Linked DNA regions of Schizosaccharomyces pombe. The main gene of each other region encodes a partner of the protein of the gene in region 2 in a complex. Each region holds a gene or a part of one and is shown on either strand. Other genes may lie near its edges. A codon is read from its position in the direction of its gene.

Region 1 (15,597 bases), on a different chromosome or scaffold from region 2:
TGAGGATGTGGTTGCTTTTTATACTGCTGAATTGACTCTAGCATTGATACATTTACATAAACTTGGTATTGTGTATCGGGACTTAAAGCCAGAGAATTGTCTTTTGGATGCTGAAGGCCATATCCTTCTTACAGACTTTGGATTGTCAAAGGTGGCTGAAAATGGAGCTGATTGTCGTTCTTTTGTAGGCACTGAGGAATATTGTGCTCCAGAAATTTTGTTGGAGCAGCCATATGATCATGCCGTCGATTGGTGGTCTATGGGTATCCTCATATTCGATCTTCTTACAGGATCTCCCCCCTTCACCGCCAACAATCATAAGAGAATTATGGAAAAAATCACTCGTGCAAAGCCTAACATACCTTTTTATGTGACTTCTGATGCTAGAGACATTATCAACAAATTTCTCAAGAAAAATCCAAAGCAACGCCTCGGCGCAGATGGTCCCGAGAAAGGTTACGATGCAATAAAAAAGCACAGAATTTATCGCCGAATTGATTGGAATAAGTTAGAGAAGCGCATGCTGCCTCCCCCAATTGTTCCTTGCATCACCAATCCTGAGGCTGCGGAGAATTTTTCAGTCGAGTTTACCAAATTGCCTCTTTCTACAACACCCATTCTTCATGAAGAATTTGGGAATTTAACAATTGGTAGCCATTCCTCTGCTTTTCAAGGCTTTACCTATGTTGCGTCTCCCAATTTTCTCAACTGTGAATTTTTATCTAACAACGCAGTTTCGAACCATTAAATAGGTTTCGCTAAAGCATCATTTACTAAGTGCTTTTTTATTTTATGTGTGAAAAGGATATTTTATTTTAAACAAACTGATTATTCTCACTATATCATAACTCCTTTCATCCTTTAGGGACTCATAATACTTGAAGAAACTCCATTAATTAATCGTTTTCTATCGAACATCGATCCTTAAGATTCTAAGATTTTAATTATAATTACTGTTAATTCTTTCATTAGTTGCTTCTTTACTTAATCCCTTTTCACTAACCATATTATTATTACACAATAGAAAACTTTAATTTTATATATATTTATATACATACTTTACAAAACATCGGTCAGCTTAGTGTTTTCTTTAATATATCAATTGTTCATACTTTATATTAACATTAAAAACAATTTCCTGTTGAAACGAATTAGCAACAAATGATTTATAAAAATACAGACTGAGGGCTAACTACAAAAAATGATAAAACAGTGATCTTATAATGCTATGTTAATAATATCAAGCATGCCGACATTAGTGACTCGATTCCCAGTGTCAACGGGAGATAAAATCGATTGTTATGCAAACAAGAAAGAGGCAATTATACAAAAGAGACATATAAATAGATCGATTTGCAAAAATAATGGCATATGCCCGAATAAAACGAGTGTATAGTGGAGTCAATGACTACCTAAAATAATAATCTGCTGAACAAATAAGTGATGGAACGACGTTCATACAAACATTTCAAAATTAATAGAATAAGGGCTGTTCAATGTAGCAATGTAAAAAAATAATAAAAATCTGAACCAATCAACCAAATTCTTAACGAACAAGGGCATTCATAAAATTAGTAACGAGAGTAAAGGTTTGACAGGTTTGACAATGGGCAAACTCAATTGGTAAACAGACATAACTAAGTAGACTTCTTCAAGTGATTATGAAGCTGAGATATTATATGCGACTTGCTGAATCGTGATGATGAACGACTAAGGTGATGTTTCGAAGAATCACTCATTTCAAGCTTTGAAGCAGAAGAGTTACGCTTTTTTGCAACCTTTTCTCTTCGACGCTCTATATCCTTTTGGGAGGGAGTGCGCCTAAAATTCCTTCGGAAACACAAGGAGAGAAATGCATTAGCGTCAAGTAACGATTTGGGTAAATCTTGAATCACCTGAAATACCTCTGTCTGCTCACTTTTCGACTTTATATCATCTTCACCAAGTCTTAAAATACACAATGCCGTCATAAACAAAACTTTGCTGCCTTCATAGAAAAAACAATCCCATACACGAAGAGCAGTCTCCGTAGGTAAAATGCCAACAAAGGCACTCATAAACCAGGCAGCAGTTACGAGAGTAATGGGAGGAAGCTTTGCCACAATATCATTGACGGGTATACCATCAAAATTAAGACTGATGCGGCTCCAAACCGCTGGTAAGCTTTCTCGAACGGATGCCATCAAAACACTTTGGTCGATGTTAGCACCTTCTAAATTGGCATCATGCATCTTTGGTAAATATTTACGACACGTAATTACGAGCATCCAAAACGCCTTTTCTTCACTCATAAAAAGCAGGAAGAAACCAGCAAGAAAATTCAAGCTTTGACAGTAACCATTTTCAGGTAAGTATGTTGCAAAAGTCATTAGAACACGACGCAGTTTTGAAATCATTGGAACATCAGGCTCCTCTGATGAATGCTCTGATGCGTCGGATGAGTTCCTAGAATGCTTGGATTTATGTCGAAAATGTACATTGTCTGGAAAGGTACGATATAGATCACGTTCAATAAGGTCAGAATCTGAGGGCTTTTTTATGCACGCACAACGCCATAGAGTCTCGTACAGTTTAGGGTTTCTCTGAAGTAATTCGTAACCACCGCTGTAATAAAACCAGGCATTGCCACGATACTCGGGTGGTATTCCTTTGCGAATAAATCGTTGAGTTTTAGCACTGCGGCTAGGAAAAATACTAGGAGATTGGTGTATATAGTCTATACCGTTTTCTTGAAGGAAAAGCTTCCATCGCTGTTCGCGACGCTCCAGGTAGCGGCTGTAAGGGCCATACCATGTGTTGTATTGGTCAACGGTATAAAACTGGTTGGCTTTTTTGAAACCATATATATCCCAGCTTGAATGGGAGGGCTTGTACTTTTTGGGTCCTCGGAGCTTTTTGGTGAGAGGACCTTCTTCATAAGTGACGTCGCAATTAAGGGAGTTGGTTTTGAAAGGAAGGCTTGGATCTGTTTGGGATGAACGCTTTTCACTCTGGGTTTCGTTGGTAATAGTGGCAGCGGTGACGGCGGAAAATTTGGAGGAGGACGTTTCAGTACTAAGGCATGATTCACGCTTCGAAAGTTCAGTAGAAGTAGATAAGAAATCAGTTGGAGGTATCTCTAAAGAAAGTCTGAACTTGCTTTCGTATTCATTGTTAGAATCAACGACTGGATTCTGCAGATAAGCACATGATGTAAATGCAGGATGATTACTAGGCGTAATTGAAGCATAGTCAGAGTTATTTTCGTGCTCAAGTATGTTATGATGACTGTAAATGGGATACACTAAAGCATCTAGTGCATGTTCACTCTCGCTAGATAAACTGGAGGATGGAGACATTATGTAGTTATTAACATCGTCTGCATCATCGGCATCGTCTTCAGTAGTATCATTGTAAAGATCTAAAACATCATCTAATTCATAATCTGAAGGTGTTTTATCCTGTTCACTACTTCCAAAGTGGATTGATGCATCTGACAGGTGAGCATTCTCCTCTTTAAAATTTGCATCATTCATAATCGTCGAATGTTCAGTGATGCCAGCCATTTTGAAATTCTCTTCTTATGTCGAGAATTCCCTGACTATCACACATGCGACGCTGGTGCTTCGGGCTTCTGGCTTTCTTTCAAAAAATCTCTTAGTTCTTCAACAATGCTTTCTTCATAAAAATTCCTTTCCAGTACCATTACTACCCAGCTGGGAGATTTTTGAGTAATTGAATGAATAATTGCCTTTCAATAACCAGATTTCTTATGCTCCACTTTCTATATGACTAAAATGCGTGGTTGGTAAACGCCAAGAATATATGCATAGTACGCGCTTTTGCAACAAAGCGTGGTGGTGTTAAATGGGCCTACCATGATACCATAATATCGAGGTTACCGAGGTACTTAGCAACACTCATGATAAGATTCCTTCTAAACTATATTTACTACATCTTTTTCGTAAAAAATGCTAAAAAGTATTAATATTATATGAATATATCTAATTTTTTAATAAAATTTACGACTTAGCTATTTTTAAGCAACTTGGATATTACCGTGTAATGAAAATTTTTATTTTTATTTTTATTTTATTTTATTAAGTCGTTGTTCCTTCAAACAAAAAATTTGTAGTACGATTGGCAAGGTAATGCAATTGGGTGATCTATAAAGCGAAAAATAGAGTGTGATCCACCAATATGAAAAATAGTGCTATAAAAATCTGGGGTTTTTTAAATCAATAAAATATTAGATAATTTGGTAGTTTGCTTCCTCTTTTTCCTTTAAATAAATAAAATACTTCACAAATAACCAAATGTCAATTTTGCAAAACAATAAATAAATAAATGAGTCTAACGTTTGGAATTAAGTATCCTCATTGTTCAAAAAACACACATCCGGTTATACAAACCCTAAAGTGTCCGACGAAAGCCAGGAATTAAGCATATTGTTCTTCAATACGCTTTCGAATACGAAGTGCATTTAGCAAGTGTTTCCACTGCCCATAAATAATTTTTCTCTCTTTCATCTGCTGCTTCTCTATTCTGATTTTTTCACACTCAAGAAATTCTTCGTAAACCATTTGAGCCGACTCTTCAGGTACAATTATACCTGTAGTAACTGGAATCGCACGATGTTTACGAAATTCAAACCCTGTAACTGCATCCGCATAATCAATGTTGAGTTTCTTGGCAATTTTAGCAATTCCTCGATATGGCAAATGTGCTGCGCCCTTGGGGATCATGCTCTCAACAAAACAATCCATATTACCATAACCGTTCTTAGGAATAATACCATCTTTGATTGGAGGCGGAACATATAGCTCAGTTTGATCGGAAGAATATAGACCCTGAAGCACTGGTTCATTTGTTTCAGCAACCCGAAATTCGTGTTCACGCTTCCTGCTAATTGTGACGGCTCTCGCCTTCACCATTTTTCGAGGTTGTTCTCCTTCCTTAATTACTCGTCCTTCTTTGTGATAATTTTCAGGCGTTTTGCATATGACCACATCTTTTCGGAGATACACTTCCTCAGAGGTAGCTTTCTTACCGTTACCAAAGGTTGCTGTCTTCACAGGCTTGGCGTTAGGAAGCAATGCTTCTTCTCTTCTAAGATGTCTAATCAATACAAATTCAGGATGATTCTTAAAATCTGCAAAGCTTTTAGGTTCGCGAATGGGCACTTTACTTTCCAGTTCTTTCTCTTCATATATATCCTCTGCATCTTTATTGCGCTTTGCTAGTTGCCCAAAAATAGCCTTATAAAAATCAAAATACTTATCTGCAAAAGAAACGTGTCGAATTTTCTTAAGCCTACTTGATTGGTAATCTGTATACCTCAAAGTTACATCTTTTGCGTATAAATCGTTATCATATGCAGCAACAATACCCATTCGTAGATGTTTTGACTCTGCATACGCTCCTTTGGGTTCAAACCAAGTCATATCGTTGGTATATACCCCATTCAAGACAACCGCATCTACCGCAATCCATTTCTTCTCACTTTGATCATAGATTTCCGTCCAAAAAATAGGATAGCGGAGGTCGTCATCTATAGATGTACTAGTTTCTTCAGGGAGGATATGTGGAGACCAATCATCATAGGAAGCAGTAGAAAATGTCAAAGGTTGAAGAGAAAATATAAGTCTTGCTTTCAGATTCAGAGATCGACAGAGAGCAGTAAATCCCTGTGCCGCCAAATCCCGGCTTCCTTTTAGCGAAAGTAAGGATGCTTGGTATTCATGAAAGTTATGAAATATTTCTGGCGAAAAGCCGATATCAAATCCTTGTTTCAAAGTACGATACCCCAACTTCCGAAGCCCATGACTCTCAATTTTAAAAGATTTATTCCACCACATCCGAAGCCCATTTAACAATTTTAACAAATCCTCGTGCGTCTGGCTACTACAAACCCACGCCTCCACTACGGACGGTTGCTTTTCGACAAGCAAATCGCGCAGCCCATCAAGAAGTAAGGAATTCATTAACCAGCGATTCCTTACTGACCCATGGTACAACAAGCAAGTAAAGTGCATAATGTGAATAGATAATCGAATGCTTTTATCCATTGCACTAGAAGAGCCTTTCTTCGATTCTTTTGTAAGTTGAGGAGTGATATGCTGTGTGACTATGTGTAAATCTTTTTTATCTTCTTGTTTATTAGGAGAAAGATCAACTTGTTCCCAAGTGTCAAAATCGTCGTCAAACTCGTCATCTTCTGAGCTGCCTAACTTCTCATTGTCTTCATCGGAACCTTTTTCGGATGAAGATGCGCTCCTTTGAAGTGAGTTTAACGCTGATATATTGTCATCTAAACTCTCAGAAGGAGGTTCCGCTGAGGAAGACAAACTTGGCTTTTTCGACTGGCTACGAGTTTGACGGTGAGTTGAAGATACAACAGTTTCCTCTTTCACTTCAGGATTAAGAGGTAAGTTATTGGTCCGTGTCCTACGTTTCCTTCCGCGAACAGAGTTCTTGGATGCTTTGCGTTTGGGTGGCATTGAGCAAAGAGTTTATGTGAATTGAATCAACTTTAGGATAATGCTTGTTTAACCGCTGGTTCAAATAATATCAATAACGATAAATTGAATAAAAAGTTGTAATCACAGCCACATCTGATATATTCTTAGTTAAAGAATTATTATTTCAAGCAATCTCTCCAACAAGAAAGCAAAATTCTAACAATGGCTGTGATGATGATTATTAAAAAGTCCTTTGAAAAAGAGGTCAGTATCAACTGCGCAAGAATGGCGAGTAGTTTGTTTGCTGAATATTATGAGCTATATTAACTACTTTTGATTTCAACCGTGAAATAAAGATTTAAAAAATTTAAATCTGAAACATAACATGAAAATAAATTATTAAATAAAAAGTTAAACCACATGCATCACTATTAATAAGAGACAATAAACATAAGTCAAAAAAAACTTCAGCCGTTAAATTTTAAGGAAATAATTCATTAATTAGTAAAACGTCAAACGAAACTGTTTAAATTTATGTCACTGATCGAGCTTATATTTCCTAAAAATAGGAATTTTAAATCGACGACTGATTTTGCACAGCAGTAGTAGTGGTAAAGTTGAAACCATCAATAACACCAATACTTAGGAACATCAACCTGCGAAAGCAAATTCTTTTTTTTTTCTTTTTTATTGCACACTTGTTTACGTACCGGATTTAAAAAGTTATCTTAATAAAAAACTTTTTATCCTTCATTGTTGCAATTGAAGTCGATAATAGCAAGCTCGACCTAGCTAATTAAAAAGCCTTTGCTACTCTAATTAATACGTAAGGTTTGAATCCTGAAACGGAGAAGTGCCCTAATTTCGTTCATTAGTATACGAATATCGGAATTTACCTTTCAGGTCCATGGTTTGTTTCATTTCTAATTCGGCGTTGTTTTATACTCAAAAAGTACACCTGAATTTCAAAACATTGCTTAAAAATCTTTTCAATGGGAAAGTTAATCCGTCGTACATCGCTGACTTCTAAAATAATCAATCTTCCGATCGATTACTTTATCTATGTTTGCGAACAATTTGACAGTGTAGAGTGGGATAAAGTATCAGATCGTTATTCGATTCCCTTTAGCTTGGCTGTCAATTTTATTTTTCTCTTAATGCGCATTTATATAAAAAGTACGCATGTACCAGTTCAACGCAACCAGCTCTTTGTGGATAAGCAGTCCATCAACACCTCTAGGTCCTGGTTTCGTGCCTTCCTATCATTTCTCTCAATTTGTTTTCTTTTCATCAGCTTTCTCAATTTCATATTTAGCACTCGATTTCAAAATAAGCTGTATAGAACTTTGCCTCAAGACAAACGCACGACGACTTCTACTCCCAATGTAAAACCAGTTTTCCAGCACTCAAATAATGATGATGGCGATGAACAAGTTTTTGAATTGAAAGTATGGAGCCCAAATCAATTTTTACTAAATTTTGCTTGCTTATTTTCTCCTGCTCATGCCTTGATTTTATGGTTTTATAGCACTTCTCTACGCGTGACTTTGTTGACTTTTCTCCTTTCGTTTACAACATTGCATTTTGTCAATAAATTTTCCTTACTGCTGAAAGATCAACAATATCTTCATCGCCAGGTATTCTTTGAGTATGATAAGAAATTTGTAGAACCTCGACTTTCGGTAGTTAAACGAGATGTTGCCATTAATACTACTCGTGGTCCCACAACCGCATCTATTGAATATTTCACACCCCGAAAACCCATAGATACCTTCCTTGAACACCGAAGTTCTTCACATGATCATCTCACTTCAACACCCCGTACCCCTATAGCGCTTCAAAGAAGAAGTGTTCATCATCTTCATGACAGCGGAATTAGTCGTGACAGCAGCTCACCATTTAAGAGATTTCCACATCTTAGTGATGGTAGTTCTCGCTTTTAATATTTGTCTGAATTACATGGTTTTTGAATGACCCACTGCATTTCCATTTATCATTGTTGTTTCTGTTAATTCCTATTTTCGAAAAGTTTTAAGTCATAACTCAATTCAGACCTGAAATAATTGTATTCATGAAGACTAATTAGGGTATCAAACACCGTCATTCTAAAAACTTTCGATGATCGACTTAGAACCAAATCCTTATAATTTAAGCTTATTCAATATGATCTCTTATTAAAATCCTTACATGATTATAAATATGAATACTCTTGTTTGTTAGAAAATATATTTAAAAGTGATAATGTGCATCAATTTTGTATCTAAACTAATATGTAAAAATCGAAGCAAAATTTCTAAAAGGAAAATAAATTATATTAAACGTGCAAACCGATTAACTAAAATGATTTTTAGAAAAAACTCAGCTTTGTAAAAAAGGCAATTGTTATTTCTAACAAAAGACGCACAACAAAACAATTCGTTTCCGTGCAGCAAGTAGAAAATTACAAAAATTTTATCAATAAGGTCATAAATGAGAAAAATGAGAAAGTCCCAAAGAGATAGTTGAACAAGGTCAAGCAGTTTTAGGTTATAGCAGCCATAAAAATGGGAAGAGCTATTATGTAGATTTCATTCACAAGCAAATAGTGCGAACAATTATTCAACAAATTTGACGGATGAAGGAAAATAAATGAGAGTGAACAAACATAGAATAAGGCCAGCTTTAATTTCAAGTCAAAATTAATTTTCCTCTTCAGCTTGTGTCGTAACCCCATGAGCCCGACATAACGGGCAGGAATTATTACCAGTGGTAAGCCACTGATCGATGCAGGCCTGATGGAAAAAATGTTTACAAGCCTGCAACTTGCGACATATGTCACCGTTAGTATAAGTTTCTAAACATATTAGACAAGAATCAGCACTAGAAAGTGAAGCATCATCGAAATATGCAAAAAGTCCGCCCGATCGTTTCACATCTTCATGAGAAGCGACTGGTTTCTTCGCTGGACCCAGGTATGTAGTAAGAGCCAACAAGTCTTCATACATGGGATTATCGCTAAACAAGCTAACTGTAGACAAAACTGGATGATGTTCTGGAAACAGACCACCAAACACATAGATAAGCCAATCACCATGGGTGCTATTAGAGAAAGTTCCCTCTGAATGCGTTTGAGTAACCATGTCGGCAGCCCCATTGGAAGCCAACGTACTAAAGTCGCTAGTATTATCATCAACAGAAAGTTGTTCCTCAAATCTATAGCTCCGTGCTAAGCTAGAACGTCTAGTTTGATTAGACAGTAAATCTCGATCAGACGGAAAATGATGGAGTCCTGTAGATAACCTTCCAGGCTGTGTGGAAAATGAGGAGGTATTATCGGTAGTCGGCTGATGAGTTTGTGACATCGAGAAATTGCCGGAGGCGTTCCTCGAAAAAACATTTGATTCAGAAGGCACTGTTGAAAACGGTCGTTGTGAATTGGAATTTGAACTATCCAATAATGAAGAAATGTAATCATCTCCAATGTGATTTTCTCCAGTTGAACCATTTACAGGTTCTTGAGCTCTTCTTAGTATACTTGAATTCCTTAAATCCACGGAAACAGTAGGTTGATTGTAGCGCGAAAACGAAGAAGTAGATTGATTACCCGAGTTGGACGTTGGAAACAAATTTCTGGAACCAGGAAAAAGATTTGCAGGGAAATCGGATACCGGCGTAAAAGCCTGGCTAAAGTCACTTCTTGTAGGTTCAGGATGTGAAAAAGTTGAATTGCTTCTCTCGAATGTAGGAGGAAGATCAGTGGAAAATTCAGTGGACTGAGCCATTCTTTCGGTTATATCGTTAATGGATATGTTTTCTCTACTCTCGTTATGAAGGCTTTGATTTTCTTGAGTCATAGTTGGCGCATGATCCTCGGAAGTCTCGGAAATGCTACGCATACAAACGATAAGGACAGGCACCAAAGCCGGTCCATTTGTATCTGAAGCTTCGTTATTAGAGGCAGGTTGATTGTGAGACTGATGAAACGACGGAAAACGGAACATCCTTAAGTATTGAAGGTCTGAGGAATTAGACTCAGGGTCAGAAGAAATTTGATCATTTCCATTTTGAGAAGAGTTTTGAAGAACATTAGTCAAATTTCCACTACGAAGGTCGGTTAAGAACTGTTCAAATGAACCATCAACAGAACGAAAGCGAGATGGTTCACCGTTTGCCATATTCTGGGAGTCCATATTCCTAGCTTCGCTATTCATAATTGAAGCAACTGTTTCAATGGCAGCAGCAGAAAGTAACCGGCTAAGCATATTGACGGTGCTTTCATCATTACCGTTAAGAGGTGTAAAATTCGAATGCGCTTCAGGATTGCTGGCATTCGGAAATTCTTCAGGAAAGTCATTAAATGCAGAAGCGATAGATGACCAAGACGACCGGCGGGTTTGAGAGTCATTATCATTAGAATTAGGGATGGGTGAAGGGGATTGATGTAGACGACTAAAATCTTGATTAAGATATTGACGCAAATGGTTTATTAAAGAAGGGGAGTTACCGGAGTTATTTAAAAGAGCATTATTTTCCAGAACAGTGGGAAGGGGATGTTCGTTGTTAATTGATTGAAGAGGTGTCGTGTAAGTTGAATTTGAATTTGAGGGAAGTGAATATTCGTTTACACGTTCTTGAGAAGGGTCATTTGATGAGCCGTAAGAACTTAAAAATGGAGCAGAATGGAAGGAGGAGGTAAAAGGGCGTGACGAATTCCTATCCAAACGAGAGGAGTTACCGGACGGACGAGGATGAAGAAAATCATAAGAGCCAATCGCTCTCCTCAATGGGGAGTTTCCAGAGGTGCCTTCTTCATACTCATGATAAGTTTGTGCTAGACTACTGTCATCTAACGCCATTGTACTTGAATAGCCATGATGTGAATATGCTTCATCTTTATGAGGTTGGGTGGAACAATGAGCGGATGAGGTAACCAGGGTTTCGGAAGGGAACCCATTCGAAGAATTTGGGGTATTGCGAGATGGAGTGTCGGCATAATTTTCACTAGGAACAGCAAAATGTGCTTCTCGACTACCGTCTTCAGTTGACAGAGGTGTTGTGTACCTTTTCCACAGCAACTTCACTCTGTCCACTAACATGGAAACTCTAGATGATGTGGTGGGTTCATCGGTTTCAATTAATGAATGTCGAGAATTTGTCTGTCCCATGAATTAGGAACGGTTTGAAGCAAATTGATATGCTACGAAGAAAACAAAAAAAAAAGAGTAAAAGAAAAAAAAGAAAATAGTTTCTTTTTTATTTTTATTACCTAAAAACAGCAATCAAGTAATACACGGACTAAAGGTGTAGCTATCCGATTACTTAAAACTCGCAAGCCGATTCAAAATATAAACAAACAGATATCAAAGTATATGGCCCTCAAGCGCCTTTGATCTTAGCTAGATCACAAAAAAACAAGTAACTGATTTGATACAAATATCTAAATACCTTGAATTGGCCTGGAGCTGTAACAATGATGACTCCTTACACCAAGTTACGTCCTGATTGCTGCAAAGACAGACGAAGCCGTACTGTCAGTTTTTAGTTAAATATATGAGAATGATTAGGTTTCTGAAAAACCTTTACACAAGAAAGGTCAAGTCAGAAAAAACAATTAAACACAAATGTTCACAAATATGGTGTGGATGGCAAAATGGAATGGAGCCATGGGATTTCCGAACAGCATGGTAAATCTTAGTGACGTTTAGCGATTTCAACTGACGAAACAGTATATAAAATCACCGCAAAAAATGATATTACGGTATTAAAGTTCAACAAACACGCAAACCTTCACTATTTTACAGAAAGTAAACAAAAGCGACTAGAAGGAAGATAATATTGATTTACCTGTCTTTAGCATAACTTGTTGAATCAGTAGAAAGCGAGAGATCATCGTCAAGGTTTTATGTTTATTTACCACAAAAGACATGCCTAGCTGAAAATATTAGCATGCATATTTAGTAAACATGTTAAATTTGGTAATGTTTGATATTTATAAAAACTAGCTACAGAAATTTGACAAAAATGAACAGACAATCGATATATTACTTTCTGCTAAAACTTATTTTTGATGGCCAAAAAAATAAAGCATTGCGTTATTTTTCTGTTTCCATTCCTTGCAATGCCCTTTGCCAGTATTTTGCGAAGGAGAAACCCAAAAAGTCACTGACCTTGCATAAGTTGAACACATCGTAGAGAGAGTATGAAAAATAAAAGGCAAAAAAATACGAGCAACATATTGCAAAGACCCAAAAGCTATGAACTAAGCAGTTTAGTAACGCAATTCAATAAAGCAATAGCGGAGCAAACAATCAAACAGGGGGCCTCGGGTGAACATGAAGAGACTTCAATAAAAAAGATCATTAAAATTGGTTTTATATTTAATTCTTGTCTTGTTTTTCTCCTTTAATCTTTCCTTCCATCCGTTTACGGGCAGCCAAAATCATCTCTTCCTTTCGCTTGCGAAACAACTCTTCACGCTCTTTTTTGGAAGATGGAAGCTTTGAACGATTACGAACCTCTTCATTGCCGGTGGACGAGGATGAATTGTCAGACGAAGAAATCCTGGACGACAAGTTATAAGTTTCAATGAGGCTCCTGTGCTCGTTGCTTGCCAACGAAGAAGCGCTTGACCCAGAAGACACGTTGGATGTCACTTCGTGCGAAGGAGTTGTTTCTTCTGAATGAGAGGAAGCGCCTGCTCCAGCCGACAGTGGAAAGCGAGCGTACAAGGAGGAATTACGGGGCGGCAGCGGTAGAGGTTGACCTCGCAATGCATTCTCGATGGTTGCATCGACATTTTTTGTTTTTTGGAGGTCATAGGCAATAGCTGATGATTCTAAATGTGGAAAAACGGTTTTGACGAGGTGAACATGCTCGCTGTTCACAGGTGGTTCATTATCGACACCCGAAGACGAAGTTCTCGATTCTGAAACTTCACCACCTTTATCAACACGAAACATCCATCTTAAAGTAAGCACTGTAACTGTTAAAACGACAGCACACCCTGCTAATTGCTCTGGTTGCATAACTTTGGATGTATTAACAAATAATTCACAAAACGATATTAATATTGATCAATTACGATAATTAAGGAATATTAGTTAAGTTTTTTACACTATTTAACTCCTTAAACGGATTAATTTTATCGCTGACCTAATATTTCAGCCAAGTTGTAGTGTATAGCAATGGTCAATCGATTTTCGAGCTGCCAGTAGACTATGTGTTATACTCTAGCCGACGGTACAGTTCCATCACGCTACCACACTCATCAAATAGTTTATATTGGACATTTAAATTATTAAATTGTTTAATTAGACATTTTTTTTTAAGAGAGTATTGCACTGCTCAAGTGGTATTCTACTAACTTCTAGAAACTTTCATAAGTTTCGGTTTCCCTTATTTGTTTTTTTTTTCCTTTTACTATTGCATTGGCAAGGTACTTAATAATAGCATATTATTTGTTATTCTTTTTATTTCCACTTATTACTCGCGACTTTGTTCATTTTTTGTGCCTTTTTATCTTTTTTTAAGTAATTCAGGTAGACATTCGCATTTCATCTCTCTACCTCGATATTTACATTACTTCTTATTTTAAAATTTCTTTTAAAAAAAATTCGCGCTTTAATTTATTCAGTGCTCCGGAATCGTTGAGTCACTTTCTTTTAGCATCAAAATGTTCAGCAAGTATTTACAATCCCGAGTTTGTGGATTGCATTCTTTTACAAATTCTTCTGCTCAGCAGCTCTTTTCAAAGTCAATTGCCCATTCTTCCAGGCGGAATTTCGTCATAAGCTCTTCTTGCACCAAATTTCGAAATGTAGCAATTCAACGAAATGCAAAACGAGAGTTTTCTCGATGTGCTGCCTTGAAAAACTTTTCATATCATGCACGATGCTTCCATGCCACTAGAGCAGTTTGGGAAATGACTGATCCCTATAAAACGTTGGGAGTATCAAAAAGCGCTTCTGCTTCTGAGATAAAATCAGCATACTATAAACTGGCAAAGCAATACCATCCTGATGCGAACCCTGACAAAGCTGCTCAAGATAAATTTGTTGAAATCAAACAGGCTTATGAGGTGTTGCAGGATCCGAAGAAGAAAAAAGCTTTCGATACATATGGTGCAGGCGCATTTAAGAATGGAGAGTTTACTGGCGGTGATTTTGAAGGATTCCAGAACGGATTTGCTGGCGCTTCTTCTTTTTCTTCTGGTTTTCCAGGTTTTAATTTCGAAGACTTATTTGGATTTTCCTCTCGAGGCCCCCAAGCTCGTCGTAATACCTCTTTTGATGTATTTGTTGGTGAAGACATTGAGGCAAGTATTACTATCGATTTCATGGAAGCAGTGAGGGGTGCAAAAAAAGACTTATCCTATTCAGTCTCTTCTACTTGCTCATCATGTCATGGATCTGGCTTGCAACCCGGTTCTCATAAGAGCACTTGCTTTGCTTGTAAAGGTACTGGTCAACGTCTTCATTTCATTCCCCCATCTTTTCACATGCAAACTACCTGTGACTCTTGTGGTGGAACTGGAACAACCATTCCTCCCAACTCTGCTTGTCGCTCTTGTATGGGATCTGGTACAGTTCGAGAGCGAAAAACTGTCTCAATTGACATTCCTCCAGGAATTGACGACAATACAGTTCTTCGTGTAATGGGTGCAGGAAATGATGCGTCTACTGCTAAGGGAGGCCCAAATGCGAAATCAAGGCCCGGCGATTTGTTTGCAACTATTCATGTTCGCAAGCATCCGTTCTTTGTTAGAGAGGGTACCAATGTTACTTATAATGCAAAAATTCCCATGACTACTGCTGCGCTAGGTGGCACTCTTCGGGTTCCTACACTTACAGGAAACGTGGATCTTCGGGTTTCTCCAGGCACTTCGACTGGAGACCGAATCACTATGGCCGGAAAAGGTATTCGCAAGGTTAACACATCTCGCTACGGAAACTTTTATGTTAATTTTGAAGTCACTATTCCGAAAATTCTATCTCCGCATGAAAGAAGTCTCCTTGAACAACTAGCAGACGCATTAAATGATAGCACAGCTCGACGGACACAAAGTAGCCCTTCAGGAACAAACTCTTCTACGTCGACATCTTCTACTTCTTCCAAACACTCTACAGGAATATCTACCGAGCCAACTACAGGAGAAGAAAACAAACAAGACGGTTCGGTC
Region 2 (15,717 bases):
GAATAGCTTCAATATGGGAATTGCTAAAAAGCGTGGTCTCGGAATTTTCTGATTCATTCTGTTTCCTCTGCCAATTTATAAAGGTTTGAACAATATCCAAAGCTAACTTTCGTGGTTCTGTACTAGCACTAGAAAACGACACAAGCTTTGGAAGCGCATTAACCATGGGTACAATAAAATGAGAGCAACAAGAGAAGAAAAGGTCAGGTGCTTTACATATGAATTGGTAAACTGTCAAAGGCTGTGATATACCCTGAACATCTTCGGAGATAACTAATCTAGGAAGTTTCGCCCAAAGGGGGAAAGTTGAATCGGAAGGACTCGATAGCCTAGCGGTTAATACAGACAGCAAAGAAGCAAGAGAGAATTCAATAAAAGCTCTCACTTCTGGTTGATATGTTTTTAGTATAGAAACATAAACAGGTGTCACAATCTTAGCAGGTGTATCATACGCACTTATAAAACATGCAATCGTAGCGTAAGCGGCTTGTTTTACCATAGGATCTTCGAGTTTAATGTAGTTCCAAGCTGACATTATAACGCTCTTGCGATAATCATTAAGAAGTGCTGAATGGTACTTACAAAGCGCCGTTGTCAAGCACATAATTCCCATGTAAAAGGAATCTGTGGCTCCCGATACTTCAGCAAAATCTCGAATTGAAACACGCCAAACATGAGTGTAAACAGAATGAACAACATCCTTATCAATAAAGTTATTTTCTCCGCATGACTTAAATACAAGCGGATTGATTACTTTATCCAAGAGAAATGCTTTAAAAAAAGGTCGAACTGACTTGTCACCAACTATACTGCAGCAAACTAAAAATATACTTTTCTTTTCAGCTGCACTTGTTGAGGTTATAAGACAACCACATAACGAATCTATGTATTCTGGAAGGAAATCGTTATCATCGTCAGCTTTAAATCTAAAAACTTCTAATGAAAACTCGAGCTTCTTCTCTATTTTCTTTAAACTAGATAAAAGCATTTTTGTAATGGACGATATACACCTGCGAATAGGAAGAAATAGATATTCGTTGTATGAACTAAGCATTCCATACAAGGACTTTGATAAAACAATAAATTTAGCCGATATAACTCCTGCATCTACATTGGCAGAAATGTAAGGAAACACGGTTGCAATAATATCAACAGCATACATTGGAGCCAAATTTTCAACAGACACCGGTTGCGAAATTAGCTCCAAAAGCTTTCCCCAGTAATTACCGGCGGTTTCGCGAAGTTTTTCAGACATCGGGTCATTCAAAGCACCAACGAATCGAGTTATTAAATCGCCATTACGTGCATTATTCAAAATATACATCCAGGTATCATTTGCATGCAAATCCATAAAAGAATACAACGGTTTTCTTAATGGGCTGTTAGAATATTTTCTGAGAACTGCCTCTATGTTTACGACCGACGACAACAAGTCACCTAGAAACTGCGCTGACAACGGAGGAAGATCTCTGAATACGTTAACCAAAGACACAATAATCTCGATCCTTGGGTTGGTTTTCAATAACGAAAGTGAGGCAGTCTCTAGGACTTTAGAATCAGATAGAACATTAAGGTGTTGAAGAAGCTTCCGACCTATTTCCACTTTAAAGTAATTAGTTAGTAATCTTAAAAGTCTGGATAAACCCTCAAGACCGTTAACTGACAGCTTATTGTGGTCCGATAAATTCATTAAAATTGGTCTCAAGCCGCTTTGAAGAAGTTCTTTAGGAAGCTTTTGGTTTTGCGAGAGCACGTGCCTTAACGCATCTATTGCAACTGAATAAATTTCTTTGTGAGGTGAGTATAGATCTTTGAAAAATATCGCTATGATTTTAGTACGAGTTTGAGCATGTTGAGGTTGATCAAACTTATGAGCCACCAAAGAAGCAAATAGTAAATGCAAGCAAGTAGCCCTTAATTTTCGTAAAGAAGAGCTATCTTTGCTTTGAGAAGTTTTAAGCATGGTGACTAATGCTTCATCTTCAGCATCAGCTAATGCTATTGTTTCACGAAATAATCTGTACAATTCATCAGTCAAATCCAAAAAAGAGGGAGAGCGGTGCAAGCAGTAAGTGATTGCATCTATATGCCCTATTTGGATTGTAAAAGGTAACGCTCTTAAGGGTTTTCCAAAAATAGGGCTTAAAAGCCTGTCCTTTATAGGAAGAAGAAGATCAACCACACTAAGTTTAGAATTGTTGGAAATGTTCTCAATAGCTTGTTGCACAGTATTCCTAACATGATCGTTGGGATGTAGGAGTTCTAAAAAAAAGGGAGAAAATGCATTAATTATATTATTAGCACGCTCTTTCGGTGCAAGCACATCCTGAAGTATACAGAATTGAGTTGTAATATCAACGATGAAAGAACGAACTTCGGTTAATTTTAAAACCCCATAATCGGTTGGAGTATCCTTGAGAATAAAGAACAAAGCCTTCAATATGTCGTGTAATCTATCTTGGATCCAAAGCTTATGATGTGAATCATACGAAAGTATTGCTTTTAAGCCGAGAAATCCAGCATTCTTTTGGTACCACAGTTCCTTATGGCAACTTTGGCAAAACACTGTTACAAGATTTTGAAAACTAGGCAACTTTGATATATCCAATGTTGTGTTGAGAAGCATCTTATGGGCGTTCAAATAATGATCGATACACGATAAAGCATTAGACCTGGTATTTTCATTTTCAGAACATAAAGATTCGAAAATTCCGTTGATGCACGTAGTAAGATCAAGCATTTTAATGCTTTGCAAATTATCAAAAATATTTTGATCTTTTATTTGCAGAGAGTCAGCGTAATTAACCAAATCAAGAACAATGAGCCATTCCAAAGAACGATTGATGGTTTCTCGAGCTTCAGCTACAAATTCCACACAAGACATTGAGCCGACTAAAGATTTAAAAATGTTTGAGACAATAGATCTTTGCAGATAATAAGATTCATCTTTGTCAGGGCACAACCTACCATTAGAGACTTGCTGTAAGTTTTTATCCATGCGATCTACAACTGCTCGGCACATTGTATCAATAGATTCCCAAAAGTCTTCATCGGGCTTCGCAGACGCAAAGAGTAATAAATACGAATTCTTGACCATTTGAAATGCTTGCTTCTTTTCTTCTAAATCGGAATTTTGATTGTTTAAAACAGCACATGAAGACATTAAAAATTTGGAGTGCTCTAAGCTAAAATTCTGAGAGGAGCCTTGGAAAGAAAACTGGATTGAAGGAAAAATATTTTCATCTTGCAAAAAATCAAAGCCAAAGGTACCAAGATATATTTGTCTATTTCGACCACCCATTTTTCCTAATATTCTCACAGCACTTTGATGCAATTGATTATTGGATTGATTAAGGCGTGAATGATTCCACAGGCATATCAGCAAATCCGGCATAATTGAGTCCAATAAAGGATCCAAAAATTCTTGAGTAAGATTATCCAAGCAAAGTTCAAATATTCGAAGCCCTTGACTAGCTATTTCAGGGGGGCCTTTTAATGCAACAATCAATGGCTTCATTAAAAAATTCATATGAGGCAACAACACACTGAGTCTAATGGGTAAAGTCAAACAAAGTTCCGCATACAGCTCTTTTTGGGATGTAGACGTAACAGTAAAAATCAATCTGTTGAAACATTCTAGCATTACTTGGAGAAGTGGTAGTATTTCCTTGTAAAGAGAATCAAATTTTCCTCCACTGATATTTCTAAACAAAGCTTTCATTAAATAAACGTAATTTAAAGGTTCAACAGCATCAGTAGTCAATTCGAGGCTAGTTGAAATGATATAGGATATATGGGGACGCAGGACTTCTGCATTTTTTTCGGGAAAAACATTCACAGTCATAAAGGCCAACTTGAATAATCGCAATAAAACAGAAACCCGAGTGGATTGGCCAGACCCTATTTTAGCTAGATTGTCACAGCAAAAAGACAGCACGATGCCCGTGCAGTTGACAGAAGTAACTTCATTAGACATCCAAAATTGGAAAATATGCAATAAAGCAAGATTATCTACTAGACACTCAAATATATTCGGAAACTCGGATTCCAAAATTTCGACGAAAACAGATGGGTCCAAGTGTAAAAATAAAGTTGCTAACATTTCTAAGAGCTCCTTCTCTTCTAAGAGTTTAGAAGGGTTTGTGGTCAACGAAGAATCAAGTTGAGAGTATGCAAGATTTTTCGAGGACTTGAATACACCGGTTTTTTCATCTGTCTGGTAATAACTGAATCCCTTTAAACTTTCCACAAGTAATCTTCGAAACAGTAAAACTTCATTAGTTGAACTAAGATGTAACTTTTCAGACCATTCCTGAGCTGTAAAAATGGAACCGTTGGCAAGAGGAATATTTCGTTGCTTTAGTCCAAACAAAACAGGCTTAATACCTAATAAGGTGTTTTTAAAAAGAAATATGCAATCTTTTAGCTTATCCAAACCTGAAGGTTGGGCAGCTCCAGTAGGGTTCTCAAACATAGGAAGATCATGTTTATTTTCTTCTATTTTAATTTGCTTTAAGTCAGCATTTTCCTGTAAAGAATCTCTCAGCTTCATAAACTCGAAATTCAGAGAAGTCAATTTTCTTAAGAGACATAAAAGTATAGCAAATAGAAGTGATCGGCTAGTGGAAAAATCTTCTAGTGCAACAATTCTTTCAACCAAGTTTAAAATAAGCTTTGTAGCCATTGCCTGAATAGCTGAAGTATAAAAGTCGTCCATCAAAATACTGAAATAAAGAAGTATGACTTTGTAAATTTGTTGTGGACTTAATTCCATACGCACATAATGAAGCATATCTGCCAGCATGCTAAAAGCCATGGGTCGTAATGAATGCTGAGAAGTGATTCCAGAACCAACTAGAATTTTGGTATCAAGTAGTTGATCTACATACGGTAGAAACCCTCTCAAATAATCCGTCGATAAGACGTGCCTTGTAGCTACCAAAAGTTCTCTTCGAGTCTGATATAATTCGGAAGGACAGTCCATGAACAATTGCAAGGTACATATTGGGATCGAGCTTTCAAACTGTTTAAGAGCAGCACCAAAACTTCTCAATAAATAGGCGAGAAAAGAGAATGATTTAATTTGCGCAGAAATAAGGTCATTGTAAAGATGATTTCGACGCAAAGAAGGGACTACACCAATAAAAACCTCTTTTTGAGATTCTGCAAGTCGACGAGCTTCGGCTTGAGGTGGAGGACGAAGTGAGATAAATTGAAGTACAAGCGGAGCAAGTAAAGGAAGCATTTTCGGAATAAGATCTTTGTATGTTTGAAATAGGAGAAAGACGATAATGGGAAATTCAGCAGTGACCTTGAAACTCGAAGAAGCTTTTGGGATCATTTTTGGACCTGCATGTTCCATTCCAATTTCAGCAGGAGATGCAGAAGATGCAGCAGACATGGGATGAGAGGATGGAGTATTCGGAGCTGATCTAGGTGGGAAAGCTTCTGAAACAACTGTGGTCATGGATTTGTAGTTTTCAACGACAATGGATAAAAATTCCTGAACATGTCCCTTAGCAAGGCTACTGTGGTCCTTAAAAAGAAGGACAACAAGCTTCAATGCCAACACTGCCATCTCTTCATTATCATTAACGACTATACGAAGAAGCACGGCAAAAGTCCGATTAACGAATGCTTCAAAACCTTTATAGGATCCAGATTTCTTGAGCAATTCAAGCAATGCAATGCGTAAACGATGTGTAGCTGCTAACGATGAAAATACAGGACGTTCCTTTTCAAGCAAAGACAACGTGTCCTCCAAAAGAGGAATGAAAGTTTCAAAATTCGTCTTTTCAGTTACCAACACATCATCCAGTGCATCTCGAATTTCAATTGCTGTGTTTGCCTTTTGCTTCGAGTCTAATCCAACATCACAAAGCCGATTATGCCAATGTTCGCATTGTGATACATCCATCAGATGCTTGGATCTCTGCGCAAGCTCTTTTTTAAATTCCAATTGCACTCGGATACGTTTTCCTAAGTATTTAACAATTACTATTGGAATGTTGTGGGATAGAGCAAGCTGCATTTCTTTCCTCTAAATCACTTTATGAATTTTACATGTTTTCGCTATTTTAATTAACGGCCTTATTATTTTGTGCGGTAGAAGTTGCTAAAATGATGAACGAGATAAAAATAGCGAGTGATACCACAAAAGTTCGTTTAGCCTCAGCTGCATAATTTGTCGTAAACAAACCATTCATTCATTAATCTGTTCATTACCATTTTTAGGCTACCTTTTAGTCAGTGATCTTTAATATATCTTACCGATTAGTAAGTTAATTGATTTCCAAAATGAGTAAAGCTATGGCGTTGCGACGGTTAATGAAGGAGTATAAGGAGTTAACGGAGAATGGGCCTGATGGTATTACTGCAGGTCCATCGAATGAGGATGATTTCTTTACTTGGGATTGCCTAATTCAAGGCCCTGATGGAACTCCATTTGAAGGTGGGTTATACCCTGCTACCTTGAAATTTCCTTCCGTAAGTCCTTTACTATAAACCTGATGGAGACTGAACATGTGATTTAAGTTGTGGATAAGTATGATGTTTCGCATGTTTTATGTATCAACTACTTATTAAAAAATACGCGCTCTTTTTCATAAATTAACATTTGTTCAGCGTAAATAAAGAAAGTAACTCAATAATCCATTCGTTTAGAATGATCATTTAAGAGAAGTGCTTTTATTCATTAGTAATTGATGAATCCTTCGATTTATTGATGAGTAGGAAGAAATTTTATTTAAAAGATCTATCTAAGTTTTTTTTTGGGGGTTTGGTTTCTTTCTTTGAATCGCATGGCAGTACATCCGGGGTGTTCAAGCGCACGTTGATACGTGCTTAGTTTTATTTTTATTGGATTCTAACTTTTTTATGTAGGATTATCCTCTTGGCCCCCCTACTTTAAAGTTTGAGTGTGAATTTTTCCATCCAAATGGTATGCCAGATACTATTAATCCAAATTTCGAGACTAACCTTCATTTCAGTTTACAAAGATGGGACGGTTTGCATTTCCATCCTACATGCACCTGGTGACGATCCAAATATGTATGAGTCGTCTTCAGAACGTTGGTCTCCTGTTCAATCTGTTGAAAAAATACTGTTATCGGTAATGTCGATGTTGGCGGAACCAAACGATGAAAGTGGTGCTAACATCGATGCGTGCAAGATGTGGAGAGAAGATCGAGAAGAATATTGTCGTGTAGTTCGACGATTGGCTCGTAAAACCTTGGGATTATAACCATGAATTGTATATTTGATTAGATTGCCATGAATAACGAACCTGATAAAATCTAGAAATAAAGTTTTGTTCCATTTTTGAACGCAACCGGTAGGCTTTTCTCTTTCTATTCCAACGTATAACGCTACATAGGTTTAATTACAAGGTTTAAACAAAAATGAAAGCACTTTTCCAATTCAATTTCTATCTGTAAATGATGGAAGATAAACATTTTGTCTATTGAGATAATCCATCTTTTAATAAACATCACTTGAACTTTCTACACAGATACATGGCAACGTACATCGCTGAAAACGAATTATATTGAGAAAACATCTAGAAATTACACAGTAAAAAACTTAACAAAATATAAGAATAACCCCAAATTATGCTCCAAAAGAAAAAAAAAATGCATCAGGTGCATAAAAATATTAGCTTCCCACAACCTACAAAAGAAAGAGGTAAATTTTTTTACAAAATAAAAATCAGAAATTATCAAATAAAACGATCATATTCCATCTTCCAATTTTTCTTCATCACCAGTGTTTTCTTCACTACCTTTAGCAATCTCAAAATCCAGAAAAAGGTCCATTACTTTTTGCTGATTTCGAATATCAGCTTCATATATAGGTGACTTCTCATAAATATTCTTAATATGAGGATCACCTCCCGCTTCCAGTAGTAATTTGCAAATTTCAGCATGTCCATTCAGTGCTGCCCAATGCATTGCGGTGTTTCCACTCTCATTCTGAGCATTTATTACTTCTTTATTCAAGTACGGGATTATTTTTTGAACAACAGCGATGTGTCCATTAGCACTAGCCATATGAAGTCCAGAGTTACCATTTTCATCACGACGACTTAATTCTTGTGGACATTTCTCTATAATCTCATCTAGTAACTCCTCATCCGCAGCTCTACAAGCGTAAATTAAATCATCAACATCCATATTAAACTATCCAATCCAGTAAAGAAGGATGTTTTACCGGTTTATTTGGAAAGAGAATGATGTGAAAACTGTTCGTTTGTTAGTGTAAGGTAGCCGCGGCTTCTCCAACTTGGCTTCGGCAAGGCCGTGGTTACTTACTACACCACAAATTCCATTGCAATTTTATATAATTATTCAACGAGAACCTGCCTTCTACAGCAGGTTAATTTTTGATTTATAAGAAGGAGAAAAAGAAGTTACAGGAGTGTTTATTTCCGAAAGTCATAGAGATTTAAACCAGTATATATGCTTTCCTTGTAAAAAATTTCATTGCTCACACAGCTCTCGATTCCTCATCTAAATAGCTATCTGGTAGCGATTGGTAGACTATTTTTTCGGGTTTATTTCCCATTATATTTCAGACACTCTTTTTGACCTGCGAAACTTTTTGTCCTCATTTTGTATCAATTGACTTCAATAATGGAGTTAGAAAAACGGATTTATGTTGGTGGCCTTTCATCCTCTATTGAATCTTCAGATTTGGAATCCAGATTTTCTCGTTTTGGAAGTGTTTCAAATCTTGAAATTATAAACAAATCTACTCCAGTAGGAACTATACAACGATTTGCATACTTGAATTTTCGAACAGATGAAGATAAATGGCAGAAATGCAAGTCTTACTTATCAAATGCGACGTTTAAAGGAAGTAAACTTCGTATAGAGGAAGCTCGCCCTTATTATTTAGTAAAATTGCAGCAGGAAAAAAAAATTGCTGATCTTCAAAGTACTAATAATGATGAGAAAAATGAAGATCACTCCAGCAAAGTTGATCTGGAAGACCCAGTCTTTCATGGAGAAATAATTGTTCCCGGAAAACATAGTAAAAATATGCAGGTGGTCACGGATTCTGATGTTCGGAAGGATCCTCCTAGAAAAGGTTGGAAAAAAGGCCCCTATGGAAGGGCCATTGTCGTGCTTCGAATGTATAATAAAAATACTAAGAAAACGAGGTTTTTTTATCCGCTGGGTAAAAACTGCTTACAAAAACTATGGGGCCGAGTGGAAACGAATATGGACAATACTACAGCTTTTTATGATTCTGATCATGATGAGTATGTATCATATGGGGGTAAGAGAGCTTCTCGTGACAAAATACGTATGCAAGCAAAATTGGGTATCAAAGCTTCTACTCAGAAGGATGATAACGATTTTGAACTTCTTAATAACACAACTGGGGAGATTGAAGTCACAAAAGAATTAAACGAAGAGCAATTGGATGCTTTGCGAAAAAAAGATAAGGATACGGCTGCATCTGTGTTAGCTGAACTGTTTGGTTCTGAAAATACAGAAGAAATTGATACCGTATCTAAAACTTCAGGTGTTTTGGAACTGGACAATGATTCGACTAATAATTTCCAAAAAGAAGGTTTGGATGAACAAGATAATTTACAAAAGGAAGAGTCCGTACACATAGATGTTCCTGCTGAATTTGAAGCATTTGATGAGCGTACTGCTGTTGTTAACGTTGACAATTTAAAAGAAATGTTTTCTTCCAATGCGCAGGATACGTCTAAGTTTTCTCTTTTTGGCAATGAAAATGGAGTTGGTGAGGAAAGTGAAATGGAAAGTGAGATTGATGACCGTAATTACGAAACTATGGAAGAAGAGGCAGATGGGGAAACTCCGCTAGCTATAGTTAAAGCCTCATCGGGTACCAAGGGTTGGCCAAAAATGTTTACTCTACCCAATCCTTCTTCCCTATTCCAACCAGGTAATGAAGATTATACGAGCAGAGAAGCTCTTGAATCCTGGTGGTCGGAAAATCGTCTATTCTTAACTCGTGATTACAAACGAAAAAGAAAAGATGCCGTAAAAAGACAGCGAAGGGCTCATGAAAAGCGTATTCGACTTGTTTAAAGACGCGTATAGGTTATGTATTTATTGGGAATTTATTTGGGTATTTTAAGGTTACGAGGTATATATTGATTTTTTACACACTTTTGGAATCTTTACGTTGTTATTTCTCTATCCTTTTTATTTTAGAAAAAAATCTGTGTCTTTTTAAAAAGCCACGATGTTCACTTTGGTTTTATCATTGGTGAAAGTTAACAACTTTTTTCGTTGCACTTTCTTGGGATTTGTGGCTTTTAATATTTACAATGTTTGAGATCAAATTTTATTAAAATATTTGTTATTCTTATTGTTATAAGCCAAAGTTGTCAAATAAAACATACCGAAATTTTCTTACATTGTCAGAAAAATTATTTTCCTTTTCGGCATTTACAAAACCATATAATGTAAATTAGTTATAATTATCTGAATAGATTATCTTATAAAAGAAGACTGAATGTGTGCATAGAGTAGTAATTACTCAATATAAGAAGAATTTCGTACTATATGTAAGAAACAGAAATAGTGAATTACGCTGTATTACACTAGCGGTGCTTAGGCACGGTGATGAGGCAGCCAACAGTCAATGCTAGTTATCCAGAGCGAAACTAGCTGCCTTATTCGCGGCTTCTGTAAAAATGGCTTCTGCTATATTCGTTCTGAATTTAAAGGGAAAGGTAATCATTTCCCGTGATTACCGGTAGGCAATTTTGAAATCTGAATGAAAATCAGATTGTCGCAATTCGTCGACAGGTTACTAACAGAAAACAATTAGAGCTGATATCCCCATGTCAGTAGTTGAAAAGTTTTTACCTTTAAAATCAGAAGTTGAAGAAGAACAAGGATTCTCCACCCCTTGTCTCACTCACGAAGGCATTAACGTATGTAAAAGTTAGATATTATGAAAGCCAACAATTCTTATTTTTTTATGGTCGTACTAACACTTTTCAGTACATTTACATTCACCATAATGATGTCTACCTCCTTGCTTTATCCAAAATGAATTCCGATGCAATGGAGATGCTAGTATTTTTGCGTAAAATGGCGGACGTTTTTATAGATTACTTTAAAGAATTGCAGGAAGAGTCGATTCGAGATAACTTTGTTCTTGTTTATGAATTGTTAGACGAGATCATGGATTTCGGTTTTCCACAAACAACTGAAACAAAAATCTTGCAAGAATACATCACTCAAACCTCAAATACGGTAAAAAAGCATGCTCCACCCCCCATTGCTATGACAAATGCTATCTCCTGGCGTTCTGAAGGAATTCACTATCGTAAGAATGAAGTATTTTTGGACGTTATTGAATCAGTTAATTTAATTGCTGCTGCCGATGGTACGGTCATTCAAAGTGAAATCTTAGGAAAAGTTCGTCTCAAATGCTACTTATCAGGAATGCCTGAACTTCGTCTTGGGCTCAATGACAAGGTCCTTTTCGAAGCGGCTGGTCGTACCATTAAAGGAAACACTGTGGAAATGGAAGATGTGAAATTTCACCAATGTGTTCGTCTTGCTCGATTTGAAAACGATCGTACAATTTCGTTCATTCCTCCTGATGGCGAATTTGATTTAATGTCCTATCGCATGAGTTCAAATGTAAGTTATTAGTTTGTGCCTGTTCTTTTTATTCCCTCTCTCCTTTATCAACGTTTTCTAATATTAATTTCTCGTTAGGTACGGCCATTAATTTGGGTTGAATGTGAATCCATCGTGCATTCAGGTTCGAGAATTGAGTTTATGGTAAAAGCTAAGGCTCAATTCAAAAAGCGTTGTATTGCAAATAATGTCCAAATCATCATTCCCGTTCCGGAAGATGCTGACAGTCCTCGGTTTCAAACTAGCAATGGTCATGTGCAATATGCACCTGAACAAGCTGCCATGGTTTGGAACATTAAGAAATTTGCAGGTGGTAAAGAATTTTTCATGCGTGCTGAAATGGGTTTACCAAGTGTTAAAAATGAAGATATTCAAGTTCAGAAAAAACGTCCTGTTCAACTAAAATTTGCTATTCCCTATTTCACTACCTCAGGGATCCAAGTTCGTTATTTAAAAATCACCGAACCAAAACTTAATTATCATGCTATGCCTTGGGTTCGATATGTTACACAAAATGGTACTGAATATTCCATCCGTCAGTAAATGTTTCTAATGATGGTTCTCCGTTCCGTTCTTTTTTCTACCTTTAGATACCTTTCCCTTCATCTATATATTTGTTTTCTTAGTGTACTGATCCCATTTATTACGAAATGAAATCTTGTTTGCAGACGCGCTAATCCTTTTTCTTACTCAGCTGACATAAAAGGAGCATTTGCTTGAAACATAAATGTCTAAGTCTATTTATTGTATAAAGGATAAGTTCAATGTTTTTATTAAAACAGAAATAAAGATTTTCTAACATACAATTCCATTTACTCAGTAGTGAATCTCCGTGTATTAAAAATACATAAAAGACAGATTGTTCCAAACGGTTTTCTAAACATAATAAATTAAAAACCAAAAGCGAGAGAATGAGAGGGAGACCGGATAGTAAGAAAAAGATTGAAGGGAAAAGTTTAAAGGTCTAAGGGTGTAATGAGTTTTCAAGTACGTATTTACTTTGGAGGTTCAATTCCGAAAAACTTAGCACGGATGGACCACATGTTTTCACGGATGCTTCGTTCCTTCTCGCCCCAATACGGTGACGGAAACTCTTCTTCAAGAACAGGTGTAGCCTGTTTACACCAGTCGTGTAGCTTGTTAATGTAGGTAGCGTCTTTTGGATAATCCAAAGAGTGATACATATTATTTGCTCCACTCAGCGAAAACATTAATTCGTCTTGCCATTTCAGCTGCTCTTCTTTGCTGGGTAATTTGAGGCGACCAGACCAAACTCGCGCGAGGAACGCTGCCTGTGCTTGACTAGTAGGGAAAGGAACAACGTGTAGAGCTAAACCAACAAAAGCCAGAGTTGGATCGGGGATATAAAATATATGTTGATAGACATTGTGCACATGACTACCATCATCAATCAACTTGGTTTCAGGGGATTTCAACTTAGCCAGGGAAGGAAATGGTACGGAATACAAGTATCCGGTACAATAAATAACTCTGTCAATATTAGATAACACTTTTCCACCTTTCAAGTATATTTCCCTAGTGGTAGGATCGAACTTAGTAATTTCAGGTACTTGTTGCAACGATTCATTCTGTATGTCCCCTCCACCAAGAAGACTTTGATATATAGGGTGCTTAGCGACTGGCGTCAAGTGTCGGACGAGATCGTTTGCAGAAGAAGCACCACCAACTACAAGTACTGATTCACCCACGAATAATTCTGGTTCACGGAATAGCGATGAGTGTAGAACTGACCCCGGCACGGCTTTAGCGTATTCATCGAGACCTTTAATATTGGGGATATAGGGTACTTCATAATGACCATTACAAATTGAGACTGCATCAAAGATATCTTTACTAATCGGGCTTCCGGCTTTCGTTCCTTTGTATGTCACGACCCAGGAGCCATCCTTCTTTTCTATATCTAGGACATCGGTGGCTAATTTTATAAAGGGCAGCAGAGGTTGTGCATATATCCGTTGATATTCCTGAATGGTATGTCGATGGGGGAATTGAAGAGTTTGGGGTTTAAAGCTTTGATCACAATAACCCATCAACTCAATTGGGGTATTAGTTTGCAGATCACGATACAAAGGTGAAGGATACACAGGTAAAGCAGCTGGTCCGACAATGGGTTCGGTTGTTAAAATGGGATTTGTGCTAGGAACCGGTAACTTATTTGATAAAGTACTTGTATAGTTCCAAACACCACCCGGAGACCCCCTTCGCTCAAAAAGCGTGACCTGGTCAAACGCCTTTTCTGCTAACAGCGCTTTAGCCGTAACTAATCCAGAGGGACCAGCACCAATGATTGCAATTTTTCGAATTGTTGGAAGACACATAAGAACAAAAGAGAAAATGATAATTTTTTGATTAGTACCAAGTAAATTAAGATATTTTTTTTTCTGTACAAAGAATAACAGAATGAAACAATATCCAATTGTGAAGGAGTGTAATTGAATGAAAACTACACTTTATGTGCGTTTTATATCTTTGCACGTTCCGATTGTCCTCAATCTGCCAGGGGGCCTTGAAATCGCTGATAAAGCTATAGCTTATTGGCTAAAAAATAGAAGTGCTGGTTAGCGATACACATATTGAAGCCAGACACTATCTGTATATATAGTTTGTTATGGATTCAAAAACGCATCCGCTTTTCGCAACTTTAAACAATCTTTTCATCATACTCAATATTAAGCACGACTAAATTACAACATCCGATCAACATTTTAGTAATCCAAGTTCTGTTATAAGCGAGCCATATGACAAAAATGGGACATTTGAATTTCTCATTTAGAGCAAATTAAAATAATAAATGTAGTTTACACCTCTTGATGGATTTAATAATTAAGATCAAGCTGATATCCGAATGTAAATTTGACCTTGGCAACGGATTATCAAAGAGAAAATTTTTTTAGCGTCCAATGATAACAGCGTTTAAGAATTAGTTACTTATAAAGACCGAAGCGATCTTCCAGATAATGAATAGCAATACATTAGATGTGAACCTATTAATGTTGTTTAAAAGATCTAGTAAGGGCATTTTGAAAGGAAATCATGCTGATGAAAAAAAAATATATCTTTATCTTCCTAACACTTCTTGCAATGGCCATAAGAGAAAGTACGTCTCTGCTGCTCATACTTTTCAAGCATGTTGAATGCTTCAAAGTAAATGATTATAGTAATTTCCCAAATAAATATAGTTAGGTGACTTACTGACTCCGCCTAACGCGTAAGTTGGATTGTTGAAACAATTAAGCTCTTGCTGTTACAACGGTATAGCTTAATACCCAAATAATTACTTAAATGCTTTAAATCATCATAATACCAACAAACGTTCGTTTTTATAATCAGAGACAAGAAGATTTTAAGATTTGCAGGGAGGTATACTCATATATAAATTCATTGTATTTTAGAGTACTATCAATTATGTATCTCAAAGAGTATATAGTAATACATGAAATAAAAGTTTTTAAAGTTGAATTATAATTTGATGTTCTATAATTGGGGTGAATGCACCCTAATTGACAATAGAGAATTCTACGAAAAAAATCATGCATCCAGGATAGTCATATAGGATTTTGGTTAAAATTGGCAGCACAATATAGTTTTTGATGCAATTACAGTTAACATGCATAATACTTGTTTTGAAAAAAAGTTATGAATAAAAGCTCAATTGTAAGCACATCACAAAGAACGATTTTTAATCGTAATTGACGATATGTAATTTTGGATTTCATATAAAATTGTAACTACTTATTAAATGATCATTAGGGGAAATAGCGCACACTGTTTTATATCCTCTTCAAATTTACAAAATGAAATTAATCAATTTTAGCAATTTACCTATTTTATATGATTGAATTGAATTGAAAAAACCATGAGTTGATTATGACGCTGAAAGAAAGACATATAAGATCCTTAGGACACTACAACTCTTTCTACTTGAATGCGAAAGTGGATTGGTCTCACCAAAAGATTACCGTACACAAGAACTTCGGTGCTCTAGCAAGTTTTCTTTCAACCAGGGCAATTGCAAAACGAAGAAATTCTAGTGGTACACCACACTGTTAAAAAAAAT

The links.
Region 1: the proteins of ubc7 (region 2) and cue1 are in contact, whole or in part, in a crystal structure (PDB 6OP8), measured with the Schizosaccharomyces pombe proteins. Residues at the interface, in NP_595778.1 of Schizosaccharomyces pombe: Met11 (codon at 6,328), Tyr14 (codon at 6,337), Lys15 (codon at 6,340), Leu17 (codon at 6,346), Thr18 (codon at 6,349), Glu19 (codon at 6,352), Asn20 (codon at 6,355), Gly21 (codon at 6,358), Pro22 (codon at 6,361), Asp23 (codon at 6,364), Gly24 (codon at 6,367), Ile25 (codon at 6,370), Thr26 (codon at 6,373), Ala27 (codon at 6,376), Gly28 (codon at 6,379), Pro29 (codon at 6,382), Ser30 (codon at 6,385), Asn31 (codon at 6,388), Glu32 (codon at 6,391), Asp33 (codon at 6,394), Asp39 (codon at 6,412), Leu41 (codon at 6,418), Gln43 (codon at 6,424), Gly52 (codon at 6,451), Leu54 (codon at 6,457), Arg161 (codon at 7,223), Leu164 (codon at 7,232), Gly165 (codon at 7,235); in NP_587825.1 of Schizosaccharomyces pombe: Asn173 (codon at 12,928), Arg174 (codon at 12,925), Ser175 (codon at 12,922), Lys176 (codon at 12,919), Leu177 (codon at 12,916), Lys181 (codon at 12,904), Arg184 (codon at 12,895), Glu185 (codon at 12,892), Leu187 (codon at 12,886), Phe188 (codon at 12,883), Arg191 (codon at 12,874), Lys192 (codon at 12,871), Glu193 (codon at 12,868), Met195 (codon at 12,862), Ile196 (codon at 12,859), Leu197 (codon at 12,856), Ala199 (codon at 12,850), Arg200 (codon at 12,847), Arg202 (codon at 12,841), Met203 (codon at 12,838), Lys206 (codon at 12,829), Ile207 (codon at 12,826), Glu210 (codon at 12,817).

What each region holds. Positions count from the first base shown.
Region 1 is NC_003421.2:443,251-458,847, reverse strand, and holds cue1 (CUE domain-containing Cue1/4 family protein), read right to left. Parts: upstream 13,610-15,597; 5' UTR 13,445-13,609; coding exon 12,797-13,444; 3' UTR 12,612-12,796; coding exon of another isoform or gene 12,441-12,611; 3' UTR 12,218-12,440; downstream 1-12,217. Other genes in the region: serine/threonine protein kinase S6K family Psk1, read left to right, coding at 1-748; GTPase-activating protein Gyp3, read right to left, coding at 1,638-3,545; DNA repair protein Rhp42, read right to left, coding at 4,419-6,479; protein nur1, read left to right, coding at 7,433-8,383; SPOM_SPCC4G3.12C (ubiquitin-protein ligase E3), read right to left, coding at 9,119-11,584; SPOM_SPCC4G3.20 (uncharacterized protein), read left to right, coding at 12,441-12,611; DNAJ domain-containing protein Mdj1, read left to right, coding at 14,092-15,597.
Region 2 is NC_003423.3:1,899,502-1,915,218, forward strand, and holds ubc7 (ubiquitin-conjugating enzyme Ubc7), read left to right. Parts: upstream 1-6,186; 5' UTR 6,187-6,297; coding exon 6,298-6,486; intron 6,487-6,769; exon of another isoform or gene 6,770-6,882; coding exon 6,883-6,940; exon of another isoform or gene 6,941-6,989; coding exon 6,990-7,243; 3' UTR 7,244-7,524; downstream 7,525-15,717. Other genes in the region: SAGA complex, phosphatidylinositol pseudokinase subunit Tra1, read right to left, coding at 1-5,917; ribosome biogenesis protein Yar1, read right to left, coding at 7,731-8,171; ribosome biogenesis protein Nop8, read left to right, coding at 8,631-10,067; AP-1 adaptor complex mu subunit Apm1, read left to right, coding at 10,679-10,740, 10,816-10,921, 10,992-11,639, 11,718-12,182; fmo1 (flavin dependent monooxygenase), read right to left, coding at 12,635-13,978. UniProt on the Schizosaccharomyces pombe protein: Catalyzes the covalent attachment of ubiquitin to other proteins. Functions in degradation of misfolded or regulated proteins localized in the endoplasmic reticulum (ER) lumen or membrane via the ubiquitin-proteasome system.